2 linked regions of the Oryctolagus cuniculus genome follow. The protein of the gene in region 2 interacts with the protein of the main gene of each other region in a biochemical or structural test. Links are inferred from orthologs where the notes say so. Each region holds a gene or a part of one and is shown on either strand. Other genes may lie near its edges.

Region 1 (7,736 bases), about 66 Mb from region 2:
CATTGGCTGAGTACTGTGGGGTGTACAATCTTTCCAGATGTCACCTAACTTACAAAGTTACCTTCATCCTTCCTTCTCTGTACTTTAATTTCCTCTCCTGAGTTGCCTACTCCATAACATCCTGTTTGCCCAGTTTGTTTTGCTACATCAGCAAGTCAGCTAATAGTAATTTTCCATTCTGTGTTGAAAATGGGCCACTAGACATTTTCTTACAGTATGTATGCAAATAGGTTGTGAATTTAAGTTCCATTTTGAGACTGCTGTTGTTGCCATTGGTGGTAGTTATTGAGACTACATTTGCAAGGTTCAGAATTCAAAAGGTACCTACAGTTAGAGAGTGTTAAGTCTCACTCATCTCAGTCAGCAGTTCTTGTTTGAGGTAGCCATTGTCATCTCTTCTGTGTGTGACCTTCTAGAGATATTTTCTCCATTTTTAAACAAATGTGTATTTATTTATATAGAGACTTGTAGAAAGTTGCCTTATACATTAAGAAATATTTAAACTTAGAATTTTTTTACGTAAAAAACATGGAATTATTGGTTATATCTCCAGCATTCTAAAGCATATTGCTATTTGTTTATAGGCTTGGAAGAGAAAATTACATGATTCTGGCTGATGGGGGAAGATGTTTCCTTCCTTTCTTGGGCATAGGACTATCCCTTTGCTCGATTTTGAAATTAGCCAGTATTTTCTTTGCTCCTCTTTTTAAAGTCTCTGCCCTAATTTTTTTAGTGCCCAAGCCCCTAGTATCTAAATTGATCACTCTTTTTTTTCTTTTTCTTTTTTTGACAGGCAGAGTGGACAGTGAGAGAGAGAGACAGAGAGAAAGGTCTTCCTTTGCCGTTGGTTCATCCTCCAATGGCCGCCGCAGCCGGCACACCGCGCTGATAAATTGATCACTCTTTATTCAGATCTCTTCTGTCTCCAGAAATGCTCTATGCTACCAAGTTACCTGTTTGTCTTCATCCCCCAGTAAAAATAATAATTCTTCAGTAATTTGATCTCAGCTAGATGTTGCTTAAGAGAAATCTTAAATAATTTATACTTACTAATAATTTTCACAGAAGTACTTTGAGTTTTAAGAAATTATTTATATGTTAGATTTTCTGGTAAATTTCAGAAATAAGCATATAAATTATGGTTTATCATTTGGCTTTGATCTTCAAAGATAATTTGCTACCATCATGCATGATTGATTACCTGACTTGTAAGTCTGACTCTAGGGTCAGCTTCCCTGAGTTGTGACTACATTTTTGTTTTTCACAGTTTTCAAAATTCCAAAAAATTAAAATTAAAGAGTTATTGACCTGTCATGGGAGGCAGAGTAGTATGTATTAGGGATTTTGTAGAGGTTTTGTATAGTTAGCCCTTTCTAAAATTCTGTGTGTTCCTTTGTATACTTCAGAATAACATGGGCGCTTTATCTAGCTCTCTGTTCTCAGTATTTTCTCACTATAGCTTCAGTTTAGGTGGTGCACAGCCTCTGACATTAGAGAGGTATAGAGAGGTGTTGGTGGTATGTCTGCTTCTTTTATGATTTGATCTCACAAGTCAGTTCACCTGTATAGAGTGATATAGATATAAATGTGGATATATAGTCTGTGATACATGCATAGCATATAAAGCTAATTGCTATGGGGCACATAATGGATATGGGTAGGATATTACTTTGAAATTAGTGCAGAGGACGTTTAGTTGATCCTGTAATTGGAAAAACATAACCTGCCTCCCTTTAGTAGCTTAGATCTTTTAAGATGTTACCTTTAATTTAAAACATCATAATATGCAATATAAATTCATAGTTAGGTAGTAGAGTGATGGATCTTTATTTGAATAGCTATATAATAAAACGAATTTCTAAATTTCTTCAGTTGATTTTCAGAAGTTTAAGTTTGCAAAAGAAGAATGTGGACTTTGATTTTAAGAACATTGTAGGAGTCCTCATTTGTACTTCAGAAAATAAAGATGGATTATTATTTCAGTTGATTGTTTTTAAATGTGGCAATTGCTTATATTAGTTAATCAAAGGTAATTTTCTTCCATTTTGATAACATAGACTAAATTTGGCCGAAGGTGGACCAAAATTGCAAAGTTAATTGGAAGCCGCACTGTTTTACAAGTGAAGAGTTATGCCAGACAATACTTTAAAAATAAGGTAAGCAGAATATAAATATCCTTGTTATTAATGATACATTTAGAATGAGCAAATTAATAAGCAGAAATGTTTCTTTAATTTAGGCATTAAAGTTTTATTGTTTAAAGTTTTTATACGGAAAGGGTTTGATATCCGTAAACTACTATATGAATATTTATTTAAACTTTAGAGCATGTCTTTATTAATAGTGTTATTAATGTCATACAGCAAAATAGAATTAGAACTTTGGGAACATTAATGCTAACATGATTTTTGAAGTCTGTTAAGTAACAATGAAATTCTTATAGTGTTGAAAAATTGAAAATTTTAATAAATTACAGGATTCACAAAAGTGCAGTTTTTTCTAGTTTCTTATTTTTTCAGTATCAACCATGCGGTTGATGACAAGAGCCTTGGGTGATTACTGACATCATAAATAAGAGTGTCAATTGTTAAATCAACAACGGGAGTCACTGTGCACCTACTCCCCATGTAGGATCTCTGTCCTTAATGTGCTGTACTATGTGAATTAATGGTAAAACTACTACTCAAACAGTACTCTATACTTGGTGTGTCTGTGTGGGTGCAGTCTGTTGAAATCTTTACTTAGTATATACTAAGTTGATCTTATGTATAAAGGTAATTGAAAATGAATTTTGATGAAGAATGGGATGGGACAGGAAGTGGATGGTTGCAGGTGGAAGGGAGGTTGGAGGGAAAAGCTGCTATAATTCAGAAGTTGTACTTTGGAAATTTATATTTATTAAATAGAAGTTGAAAAAAAAAGACTTACGAGAGGTCTTCCATCCACTGTCAAACTCCCCAGCTGGCCGCAACCGCCAGGGCTAGGCCAGGCTGAAGATAGGAGCTAGGAGCTTCTTTCAGGTTTCCAACCTGGATGGCAGCGACCCAAACACTTGAGTCATCTTCTGCTGCTTTTCACAGGCCAGTAGCAGGGAGCTGGATTGAAAGTAAAGCAGCTGGGACACAAACTCGCGCCCAAATGGGAGTCCAGCGTTGCAGGAGGTAGCTTTACCCCATGTATCGTACCACCAGCCCCAACTATGTGATTTTGATAGTTGGAATTTTTAAATATATTCTGCTCTAAGAACATAATTATATAAAATTTGAAAATATTATAAGTGAAATTTGATGTTTTCTTTCAGTGTGGCTAGTAGACTGTACCCTGTATACAAGATTTCTCTTAGTGTTAACTGGCATGGGCAGAAAGTGATAGAATATATTCGTTGTACATAAATCATCCACTTCCTCTTAAACAAAAGTACTGTTGGGGCAGCTTGCTAAGGTTGAGGTATTAAGAAGAATAAAGCTTAATGTGGTGGTTATTCTACCTGCAAGCTTTTCAAACTGCAATATTTAGTTTATCTTGGAGTGTCAGTTTTACTGAAAGACTGTGGTAGAAAGATACATTTCAATATTAGAATGATTAGTATGTTATAAAATCTAATCCAAAATATCTGAATTTTTAAGATTAAAAACGGGACCAAATAAATAGCAAGGTTGCTAGAGAATATTTCAGCTTGTATGTCCAAATCTTGTTTTCCTTCCTGCTATTCTTTTTTTTTTTCTACGTAGTAAGCCAATTAACACCAAATATTTAATCCTAGAATGCTGACGTGATATTAGGTCTAGAAATAGTCTTTCTGAAAGTTGTTATATCCCTTGGGTATAGCAATCATTTACAAAATTTTTCAAAAACTTTCTATGTAAGGATTTTTTATTTCAAGTCATATTTAATCATTGCCTTTTTTTTTTTTTTAAGATTTTTTTACTTATTAAGAGTTATAGAGAGAGAGTGAGAGAGATCTTCCATCTGCTGGTTCACTCCCCAGATGGCTGCAACTGCCAGAGCTGGGCCAGGCCAAAGCCAGGAGCCAGGATCTACATCCAGGTCTCTCACATGGGTAGCAGGGGCCCAAACACTTGGGTCATCTGCTGCTGCTTTTCCTAGACCATTCACAAATTGCTGGATCGGAAGTAGAGCAGCCGGCACTCGAACCTGCGTGCTGTGGGATATGCTGTGTTGCAGATGGCAGCTTTACCTGCTACACCACAGTGCCAGTACCTACTCATTGACTTTTATTATCATTCTTGTGTTGTATTATCAGATAGCTATGTCTGTATAGCTGATATGGAAAGTAATTGCATGACTTAAAATGTAAGTGCTATAATATTGGAGCTGCATTAAATGAACGTACAAAAAACTGTTTTTTTGTTACTGTATCTAAATGAAAGATAGGCCGGCACCTTGGCTCAATAGGCTAACCTCCACCTGTGGTGTCAGCACACTGGGTTCCAGTTCCGGTTGGGGCACCAGATTCTGTCCCGGTTGTCCCTCTTCCAGTCCAGCTCTCTGCTGTGGCCCGGGAGTGCAGTGGAGGATGGCCCAAGTCCTTGGGCACTGCACCGGCATGGGAGAACAACAGGAGAAGCACCTGGCTCCTGGCTTCGGATCAGCGCAGTGCGCCGGCCGCAGCGGCCATTGTGGGGTGAACCAATGGAAAAGGAAGACCTTTCTCTCTCTCTCTCTCTCTCTCTCTCTCTCTCACTGTCCACCCTGCCTGTCAAAAAAAAAATAAATAAAATAAATGACAGATGGTTTTAATTTACTAAGTAGGATAAGTGAGATAAATGTGATAGATTCTTTTAAGAAAAAGCTTTAAAGAAACAGTCAGCTGAGATATTAGACATTTAAGAAAAGAGCTTTTATAAATATTTTAATATCTTGTAGAACTTCTTAGTATGACAGTTACAGGTTGATTGTGATTGGTCTAAGCCAGACACGTATTTTAAACTTAATATTGACAAATAAATGGTAGTTCTATATAGACCATGGTTATTTGATTAATAGAAATCACCACATTATGAATTAATCATATATCTAAGGAAATTTAAAATGTGATCTTTTACATTAAAACTACAGTTATAAATCCAAGAGAAGCAGAATAAAAGTATAATGTATCATTAACATGCACTCACTTGAATTATATTATTGTATATTATTGTATTTATTGTGTCAGTGATTAAATTTTAAAATCTTAATATTATGGAGGTTTTATTCTGATTTTTTTTAATAAGGTAAAATGGGGTCCGGAGAAAGAAACACCAAATCAGAAAAGTAGCAGTGATCTTCAAGTTAAAAGTGAAGACAAAGGGACAGAGGCATGGATACCATCATGTTTAAGGGGACATGCTGATCCCAACTTGAATGCTGTAAAAATTGAAAAATTGTCTGATGATGAAGAAGTAGACATCACAGACGAGGTGGATGAATTCACTTCTGAAGCACCCCAGAAGAATTCTAACAGTGGTCTCTTATTAGACATTATTCCTAGTAGTAGTAGTATGCATGAAACCAATCAAGGAGAATGCATTGCATCTGATAGCCAGGAAGACCCCTTTTTTAAATCTTCCGGGGAATATCTTAAGAATCTAAAGCAAGATGAAATGGAAACACTTTCAGGCTCACAGATTACATTACAGACTGACAAACCGAGCAACAATGACAAAAAATCAGTTGAATTAAAAGATGAGAAATGTAATAAACCAATTCAGAACTATAACGGGCATGATGGAAATGGACTGATAGATGATGCGAGTCAGTGGCCTTCTCTTGAGACTTGTGAAAATAAAGATTTGAGTGACAATGAAATGCTTTTTCATTCTTCTTGTCATGTTGTGGAAGAAAGCCACGAGGAAGAAGAGCTTAAGCCACCAGAACAAGAAGTAGAAATAGATAGAAATACCATTCAAGAAGAAGAAAAACAAGCAATTCCTGAGTTTTTTGAGGGGCGTCAAGCTAAAACACCAGAACGCTATTTGAAAATTAGAAATTACATTTTGGATCAGTGGTAAGAAAAAATTACATTTTAGATGCCTTTTTAAAAACCTGATACTCTTTAAGTGTTTTAGTTAGGCCTATGCAGAATTTAGAATTTTGGTGGCAATAAGAGTGTTTTCACATAACAGCATTTCAGTAGGAAAAATTTAACTTTCTCACAGTGAAACTTTTTTGAAAGCTTTGGTCATGTATAGCTGTCACAATACCATCTGTCTGTTCATCTGAGTGTTTGTGCTTGGAAAGAAAAGGGATGAATAACTGCTTCAAGAAGCAATTCCTTGGGACAGAAATAATGCAGATGTAGAACACTACTGTACTGGGAATAGGAGAGAATTTTTCTTTTTGGGATTTATCATGTACTTTAAGTGCAAAGAAGGAAAGATTTGGTGACAGAGGATGGTATCATTAAATGTGGCCTCTTTGCAGAAACTCCACCTGAACAGCTGTCTTAAATGCCTTCAGCTTTAAACTTGTGGTGGAATATGCTAATAATTTCTTCATCCAGCTTCATCAAGGTCCAGGAATTTTCTAATATGTGAAATTTACCCTCTAAATTGTTAATACATTTTACTTGAACTATTTAGTGGGCCTAGGGAGCAAACCAAAAAACTTCTTACCTCGTTAACCTGATAAAAGTAATTTGAAGTAATCTTGACATCTTAATTAAGCCATCATTAAACACTCATAATTGCTACTACTAGTTCATGAACTGTTGAATCATATAGGGCCATTTTTAGAGAGGGCTTCCCAGTTCCTTGAGTAGGGATTCTGCTTTGTCCCTTGTTTTTCTCTTTTGTTCTGTCTTCCTCTCCTTTGCAGTAACTTTCTGCTATAGCTTTGGAAGGTTACATAAAGGAAACTTAATAATGTGCCAAATCAATAGCCTTCATTTTGCCCACATAATATTAAGTCATTAGGTTTTTAAAGGTAGCAGTATTCTAAAAGGAGGATTTTTGTTCTTGTTCTTGATACATGGTTATCTTGCAGATGCTTGACATGCCAAAACAACTTCTGGGTAAGGAGGCAGCATAGTAAAGAATGCTGACAAGGAACAACTGTCATTTACATGGTACTTAGCTGCTTAAAGAAAGACTTGCTCTCTGTTCTTATTTGCTGTATAGGCCTCACAGCAGTCCTCTGACATAGTGAAAGGGACTTAACCAGCCACTGACTCCTGAAAGACTTCATTTCAAGTCTTGACTATAATCAAGTAAGGCAGAATAATTTGCATAGATACTGCAAATTATATGGCAGTAGTTTCCTAAACTATTTGTTTTAGTTGATGAAACCAATAGATACTGCTATTTAAACATGATGATTTAGGAAAATGGTGTGAAGGCTGAAAATAAATGTTTTTTTGTTTGTTTGTTTTGTTTTGTTTTGTTAGCCAGAGTGGACAGTGAGAGAGAGAGACAGAGAGAAAGGTCTTCCTTTGCCGTTGGTTCACCCTCCAATGGCCGCCACGGCTGGCACACTACAGCTGGAGCACCGTGCTGATCCGAAGCCAGGAGCCAGGTGCTTCTCCTGGTCTCCCATGCGGGTGCAGGGCCCAAGGACTTGGGCCATCCTCCACTGCCTTCCCGGGCCACAGCAGAGAGCTGGCCTGGAAGAGGGGCAACCGGGACAGAATCTGGCACCCCGACTGGGACTAGAACCTGGTGTACCGGTGGAGGATTAGCCTATTGAGCTGCGGCGCCGGCTTCTTTTTTGTTTGTTTTTAAAGATTTATTTATTTATTT
Region 2 (6,366 bases):
TTAGAGAGAGAGAGAGAGAAAGGGTGGTCATCAGCCTCTCAAGCATGGCCTCTTAGGGTACCACCGTTGTGATGGGGTCCCTGTTACCTGGGTTTTATTCTCAGCCTGGTAGGGCTGAAAAGTTGACATTATTAGTAATTGCCTAGCTTCTTGGGGAGGAATCCACACTAATAGAATACTCAGGAAATAAATTACTGATTCAGAATGCAAATTCATTGACTTCTGGTGATTGATGTATCTTCCCATAACTGTCTCTCCCCGTTTCAGGCTCATGTTTTTATCTTGGAGTAGAATAAGCAGAAAGTTGTTCACTGAGCACAGACTCTGAGCTCTGCAGAGAGTTCACCCAGGCCTTGAGAAAAGGCTGTTACTGTGGGCATCGAGACCTCTTCTCAAGCAGCTCAAGCCTTTGTGGCTACAAGACACACACTCCGGACTGGACAAACAGCGTATTCCTCCTATAACTGCCTGCAAGACCCACACTTTCCTGCTAACATACTCATCTTTTCAAATGATATAATCAACTGGGTTTGACTTGTTTCAGTTATAGTCTACTATTGAGGGAACACCCTCAACACCTTTGACTGGACCTTGGTGGTCCCCAAATCTATGCCTGCATTCTTACCAGGGGTAATCTCCACAGATGGCTGGTACTGACTGATTTAACTCACATTTAACTCAGACCTCGCCAGATTCTCTCCATGTTCTGGAGATATTTCATCACAGACTTCTCCGTACTAGCCTCCATGACCTGTACACTCAATGCCCAACAGCACACACGCAACGCATGCTGGTTGAATAAAGGTGAGGATACCAAAGAGAGCTTCAGAAAAAGTCTTCAAGGCCAGAATTTAAGTGTGTCCTTTTGTCCAAAGCGTTCCACCTCCTGCCCTTATAGGCTCCTAAGGAAAGAATGAAAACAGAGTCGGGGGTGTAGAGCTCCCTGAGATGGGAGCAGGAGACAGAGGGAGTTTCAGGGGAGAAGCAGGGGCAGGTGGAGGGCGCCTGCCGGTCTGTGGAGCCTGACAGCCTGTGGAGCCTCATGGCCAAGTTCCAAGAGGGTGGTGAAGCAGATGAGGGAAGCAAGAAAAAATGGCCGAGGAAGTTACAGTAAAGACATGCTGTTGAGATGAAGGGAAGAGTAGAGTAGGTCCTAGATGTTGGTATAATTCAGAGCAAGAGGGAGGGGTTGTTTGCATGAGTTTGCTGTTTGGATAGGCGGCAGTTGAGTTTTTTGTTCTTTAGATTTATTTTTGTTAATTTGAAACACAGAATTACAGAGAGAGAAGTCTTCCATATGCTGGTTCACTCCCCCAAATAGCTGTAATTGCCAGAGCTGAGCTGACGCGAAGCCAGAAGCCAGGAGGAGCTTCTGGGTCTCCCACGTGGGTGCAGGGGCCCAAGGACTTGGGCCATCCTCTGCTGCTTTCCCAGGTGCATTAGTAGGGAGCTGATGGGCAGTGGAGCAGCCAGGACTTGAACTGCCGCCCGTTTGGGATGACGGCGCTGCTTGCAGGCCGCGGCTTTAACGCGCCAGGCCACAGCGTCAGCCTCATGAAGTTGAGTCGGAGGTGCTTGCTGGGACCAACAGGGCGAAGCATCCATGAAGCAGACAGAAGGGACTGAGCATTTGAAACAAACTAGTGCGTTAGTTGAAACGGGGAAAATGTCGGGAAGAGTGGCCTGGGGATAGGCAGAGCAGAGTCAAAGCAGAATCGCGTTTTTAGAGATGGCAGAGGAATAGGCCCAGGACAAGCGAAGCCAGAGAGGTAAGAAACGTGTGTGTGTGTGTGTGTGTGTGTGTGTGTGTGGTGGGTGGGTGGGGCACATGTTGAACGCCTAGGGGACGAATTCTAAGGCGGCCTAGGACGCCTCCTGGAGGTCACGAGCAGGACGGCAGACCAATTCTGCCCGTTAGCCAAACCCGATTCCGAGGGGCACAGGTGGGTGGCGAGGGGCACAGGTGGGTGGCGGAGGGAGGGCGAAGCCACTCTGAGGCCAGCGGCTGCACTGAGCTGACAGGAGACAGCCGTAATAATGTTTACCGAGAGAGTCTGGCTGTGACGCGGCAGGAAGGGCGGGCCTCGGTCATTAGGCCTCAGGGGACACTCGGTTTCACAACCCGGTACCTTGCGAGGGAGGGCTTTCCCTCTGAGAGTCCTTTGGGGGTCTTTTATGGAGTTCCATTACCCTAATGTGGAGTAAAAGAAACCCCACATGTTGCCACTCAGTGAAAAAGAAAGCATTTAAAAAAAAAAAAACACCTTCTCTCTTTAAAAATCCTGGCATGCAAATAAGGGGCTTTAATGTGGCTCTCAGCGATTGGTAGGTAGATACAAAAGCCGTCATTTCCTCGCAGCCGCAGGATGCAAACCGAAAGGCCGAGTGCCGCTTTCCTATTGGCTGCCGCTCTCGGCCAATAAAACTGCCTCCCTTCACCCCTCCCGGTAGCTCTTATAAATTACATCAAATTGCCTATCCTTTCCATAGCCTCTCCTAGAAAAACAAGCTGAAATCAGGTTTTTAGCCGTCATGTCTGGACGCGGAAAGCAAGGCGGCAAGGCGCGCGCCAAGGCCAAGTCGCGGTCATCGCGCGCCGGGCTGCAGTTCCCCGTGGGCCGGGTGCACCGGCTGCTGCGCAAGGGCAACTACGCCGAGCGCGTCGGCGCCGGCGCCCCGGTGTACCTGGCGGCCGTGCTCGAGTACCTGACGGCCGAGATCCTGGAGCTGGCGGGCAACGCGGCGCGCGACAACAAGAAGACGCGCATCATCCCGCGCCACCTGCAGCTGGCCGTGAGAAATGACGAGGAGCTCAACAAGTTACTCGGGGGTGTCACCATCGCGCAGGGCGGCGTGCTGCCCAACATCCAGGCCGTGCTGCTGCCCAAGAAGACGGAGAGCCACAAGCCTGGCAAGAGCAAGTGATTGATTAGGCGTGACACCACTCCCGTCCACCCAAAAGGCTCTTTTAAGAGCCACCACAGTGTCAAGCGGAGGGCTGATAACAAGCAGCGCGTTAGCTCTTTCTTTGACAACTTGGGTGGCTCTAAAAAGAGCCTTTGGTCTTTGGTTCAGGTCGTCAAATTTATTTGCTTTTGGCTTTGTGGCTTTCGGTTTTCTTTGGCAGCAGCACAGCCTGGATGTTGGGCAGCACGCCGCCCTGCGCGATCGTCACCTTGCCCAGCAGCTTGTTGAGCTCCTCGTCGTTGCGGATGGCCAGCTGCAGGTGGCGCGGGATGATGCGCGTCTTCTTGTTGTCGCGCGCCGCGTTGCCCGCCAGCTCCAGGATCTCGGCCGTCAGGTACTCGAGCACGGCCGCCATGTAGACGGGCGCGCCGGCGCCGACGCGCTCGGCGTAGTTGCCCTTGCGCAGCAGCCGGTGCACCCGGCCCACGGGGAACTGCAGCCCGGCGCGCGACGACCGCGACTTGGCCTTGGCGCGCGCCTTGCCTCCTTGCTTGCCACGACCAGACATAGTTAAGAAAAAGAAACCAAACCCAGCTAGGGCGCAGAACCTCGCAACAAAACAAGATTGAAAGGAACCCACGAAGAAAGCCTTTATAAGCTTCCCTGGGGGTGGGGTCAGGAACGAGCTTTTCATTGGTCCTAATATGGCTTCAGAAACAGCCAATAAAGTCGAGCTGTTGTCATTACGCAGGCTTTTACCGAAAACGCAACTTTCCTGCACGGACCAATGGAAACGAAAGCCATTTTGATTCCTAATTTGCATAAGATGGTTATAAGAGGATCAGGCCCGCCCATCCTCTTATTCCTTTTCCCCGCTGTATCGCGTTGGTGTGGTGTTTACCATGCCCGAGCCAGCCAAGTCCGCGCCCGCGCCCAAGAAGGGCTCCAAGAAAGCTGTCACCAAGGCGCAGAAGAAAGACGGCAAGAAGCGCAAGCGCAGCCGCAAGGAGAGCTACTCCATCTACGTGTACAAGGTGCTCAAGCAAGTGCACCCCGACACCGGCATCTCGTCCAAGGCCATGGGCATCATGAACTCGTTCGTCAACGACATCTTCGAGCGCATCGCCGGCGAGGCGTCGCGCCTGGCGCACTACAACAAGCGCTCGACCATCACGTCCCGGGAGATCCAGACGGCCGTGCGCCTGCTTCTGCCCGGCGAGCTGGCCAAGCACGCCGTGTCCGAGGGCACCAAGGCTGTCACCAAGTACACCAGCTCCAAGTGAGGCCCTGCCGTGCCGCTAACCCACAAAGGCTCTTTTCAGAGCCACCCATCTGATCGGGAAAGAGCCGTGTTCACATAACGTCCCCCCTTAGTCCCTTCGCACAAGTAAGTTACTGCAGCCCAGACGTAGTGGGGGTGGAGTACTTGGCATTCTCTAAGACGTTCCGACCCCGAGGTTCCCGGCGCGTGATTGGACTTGCGTTGAGTGCCAAGTGCGTCTTCACTCCTAACAGCGGCGATGGCCCGCCCCTACCCCTCTGCGTTGCGGCAGTGGCCGGGCGGCTTTGTTACACACGCTGGGCCGTCTTAAACTCGAGTGGCTGATTGCAGCTATTGGTTTAGGAAGACTGCAGGACACAAGTAGGCGCGTCCGGCGGCCGCTGTGTACAGCAGCAGCTTAGCACCGGAAGCGGCGGGGTGGCCAGCTCGGCGCGGGGAGGGCTCGGCCTGCGGGCCTGCGGGCCTGCGGGTGACCGGTGCTGTGCTCTGGGGCGGAGCCCGCGCCGCTGAGGGTCAGACTTTTCCTGATTGGGCGGCATGAATATTCAAAATTCGCGCCACTCGAGAATTCTTAAAGACTTTGTTTTCCGCCTCTGACGTTGTAGCTTGGAGAGTCCTAGGATTCCTTAAGTCCGTAAATGATTTTTGCATTTAATGCTCTGTGCTGGGAAGCCTGCCCCAGGTCACTGCAAGACACGGGTGGTTTAGCTCGGGGATTAAGAACCGCTGCCAGCGGCATCCGCTCAGGAGCCTGCCCTTTGGCCCTGTCTGTTGTGTGTTTTCATCTTCGTCCACGCAGCTGGCTGAAATTCGCTGGCTCATTTGCTTTCTCGTTAATGGTCTTTCTTCAAACCGGGACAAAGGCCCTGCTGGCCTGCTTTTCCTCCGTATCTTCAGCGCCCATCAGTGCCTGGCACGTAGCGGACACAAACGGCTTGAACCGATATCGACGGATTCGTTTTTCTATCCCGCCAATTTCGTAATCGCTTCCGTGGGTGGGGGGTGGGCGCTGTTTATTTCCATCAGATGTGAAGATACGATGAAGATGGAAATGTTTTTGTAGCTCCTTGACCAAATATGTCGTTAATCACCTCGGTGCAACTGCTTTGGGGCGGGTGAGGGGTGGGGGGAGGCCTGGTGCCAAGATTTTTTTTTTTTTTTGCATCGGGAGGAGGCGGCAGTAGCGGGTCTTCCCCGCAGGCTCCCCGCTTTAGGGTGACCCGTTTTAGGTTTCCGTTCAATTGAGAGCAGTGGTCAGCGAGAAGAGCCTTCACCCTCTGTTCACACTGGGAGGAGCTTTCAGTTCATCCCCACCAACCCGGCTGCTTTTTCAGGAGGCCCTAACAAGCAGAGCAGACAGAGCTGCAATATCCCTCACACAGCGAGCGCTGCTTTTGTCTTCTGCGATGTGATCACAGGTGTATTTTGGTCGTATCTGATGCAATTACGCAATACCGAATCTTCCTGTCCGAGCCTTGATGGTGCCAGGGGAGGTCCTGAGTGCTCAGTAACTGGACTCTGCTCAGGGCTCCTGGAGTTGATTGCAAGGGTTTTGTGAACCCAGATGTGCTCCACATAGCAAATCATAGGCTGAGATCTTGAGCCTGCTGCGCGTGTGCTTTCAAATCTGTGTAGATGCTGTTATTAATAAAGTGCCCAACTCATTTTAAGGCTTTGCTATATCCTTTTATCGGCCATATATGAAGTGAAATTGACAGGGACAGTCACCACTGGGTACATGTGTGGAAAGGGTGGAGAAGGAATATTTAGAAGCCGTCAGCTAAACTTTTACCCCAGATGGGCAATGGGGCTGAACCAGGCTGTCACAAGGCTTTCCGCAGTCCTTGCAAAATACGTGAGCATGAAGAAGAAGCACTACAAACAACGTGGAAGACATACAGTCCTTAACCAAGGTGGGCTAACACCGACAGACACTTAACATGTGTTCCCGATTCATGCACAACATTCTCTCATTCTCACAAGAGCCTCCTAAAGTAGGTAGACTTGTCATCTCCCACTGGACAGGGAGGGAAACTGAGCCACAGAGCGGCCTTTCCTCAGAAACTCACCAGAGAAAAAGCTCCTTGTTTAGTGCTAAAAGGATGTAAGAAAGCAGGGCTGCTCTCTGAGAACCTGGACTCCTCCCTGGATTAGGGGGGAAATAGCTGTGCTTTAAA

What was found.
Region 1: of the proteins of histone H2A type 2-C (region 2) and MYSM1, one has a biochemical effect on the other in vitro, tested with the Homo sapiens proteins (2 studies listed by BioGRID). The link is inferred for Oryctolagus cuniculus from reciprocal best matches to the Homo sapiens genes H2AC20 and MYSM1.

The regions. Positions count from the first base shown.
Region 1 is NC_091438.1:114,362,434-114,370,169, forward strand, and holds part of MYSM1 (deubiquitinase MYSM1), read left to right. Parts: intron 1-793; exon of another isoform or gene 794-931; coding exon of another isoform or gene 932-973; intron 974-2,057; coding exon 2,058-2,156; intron 2,157-5,234; coding exon 5,235-6,007; intron 6,008-7,736. UniProt on the Homo sapiens protein: Metalloprotease with deubiquitinase activity that plays important regulator roles in hematopoietic stem cell function, blood cell production and immune response.
Region 2 is NC_091438.1:48,062,477-48,068,842, forward strand, and holds histone H2A type 2-C, read right to left. Parts: upstream 3,539-6,366; 5' UTR 3,476-3,538; coding exon 3,086-3,475; 3' UTR 3,040-3,085; downstream 1-3,039. Other genes in the region: histone H2A type 2-B, read left to right, coding at 2,533-2,925; histone H2B type 2-E, read left to right, coding at 3,810-4,190. UniProt on the Homo sapiens protein: Core component of nucleosome. Nucleosomes wrap and compact DNA into chromatin, limiting DNA accessibility to the cellular machineries which require DNA as a template.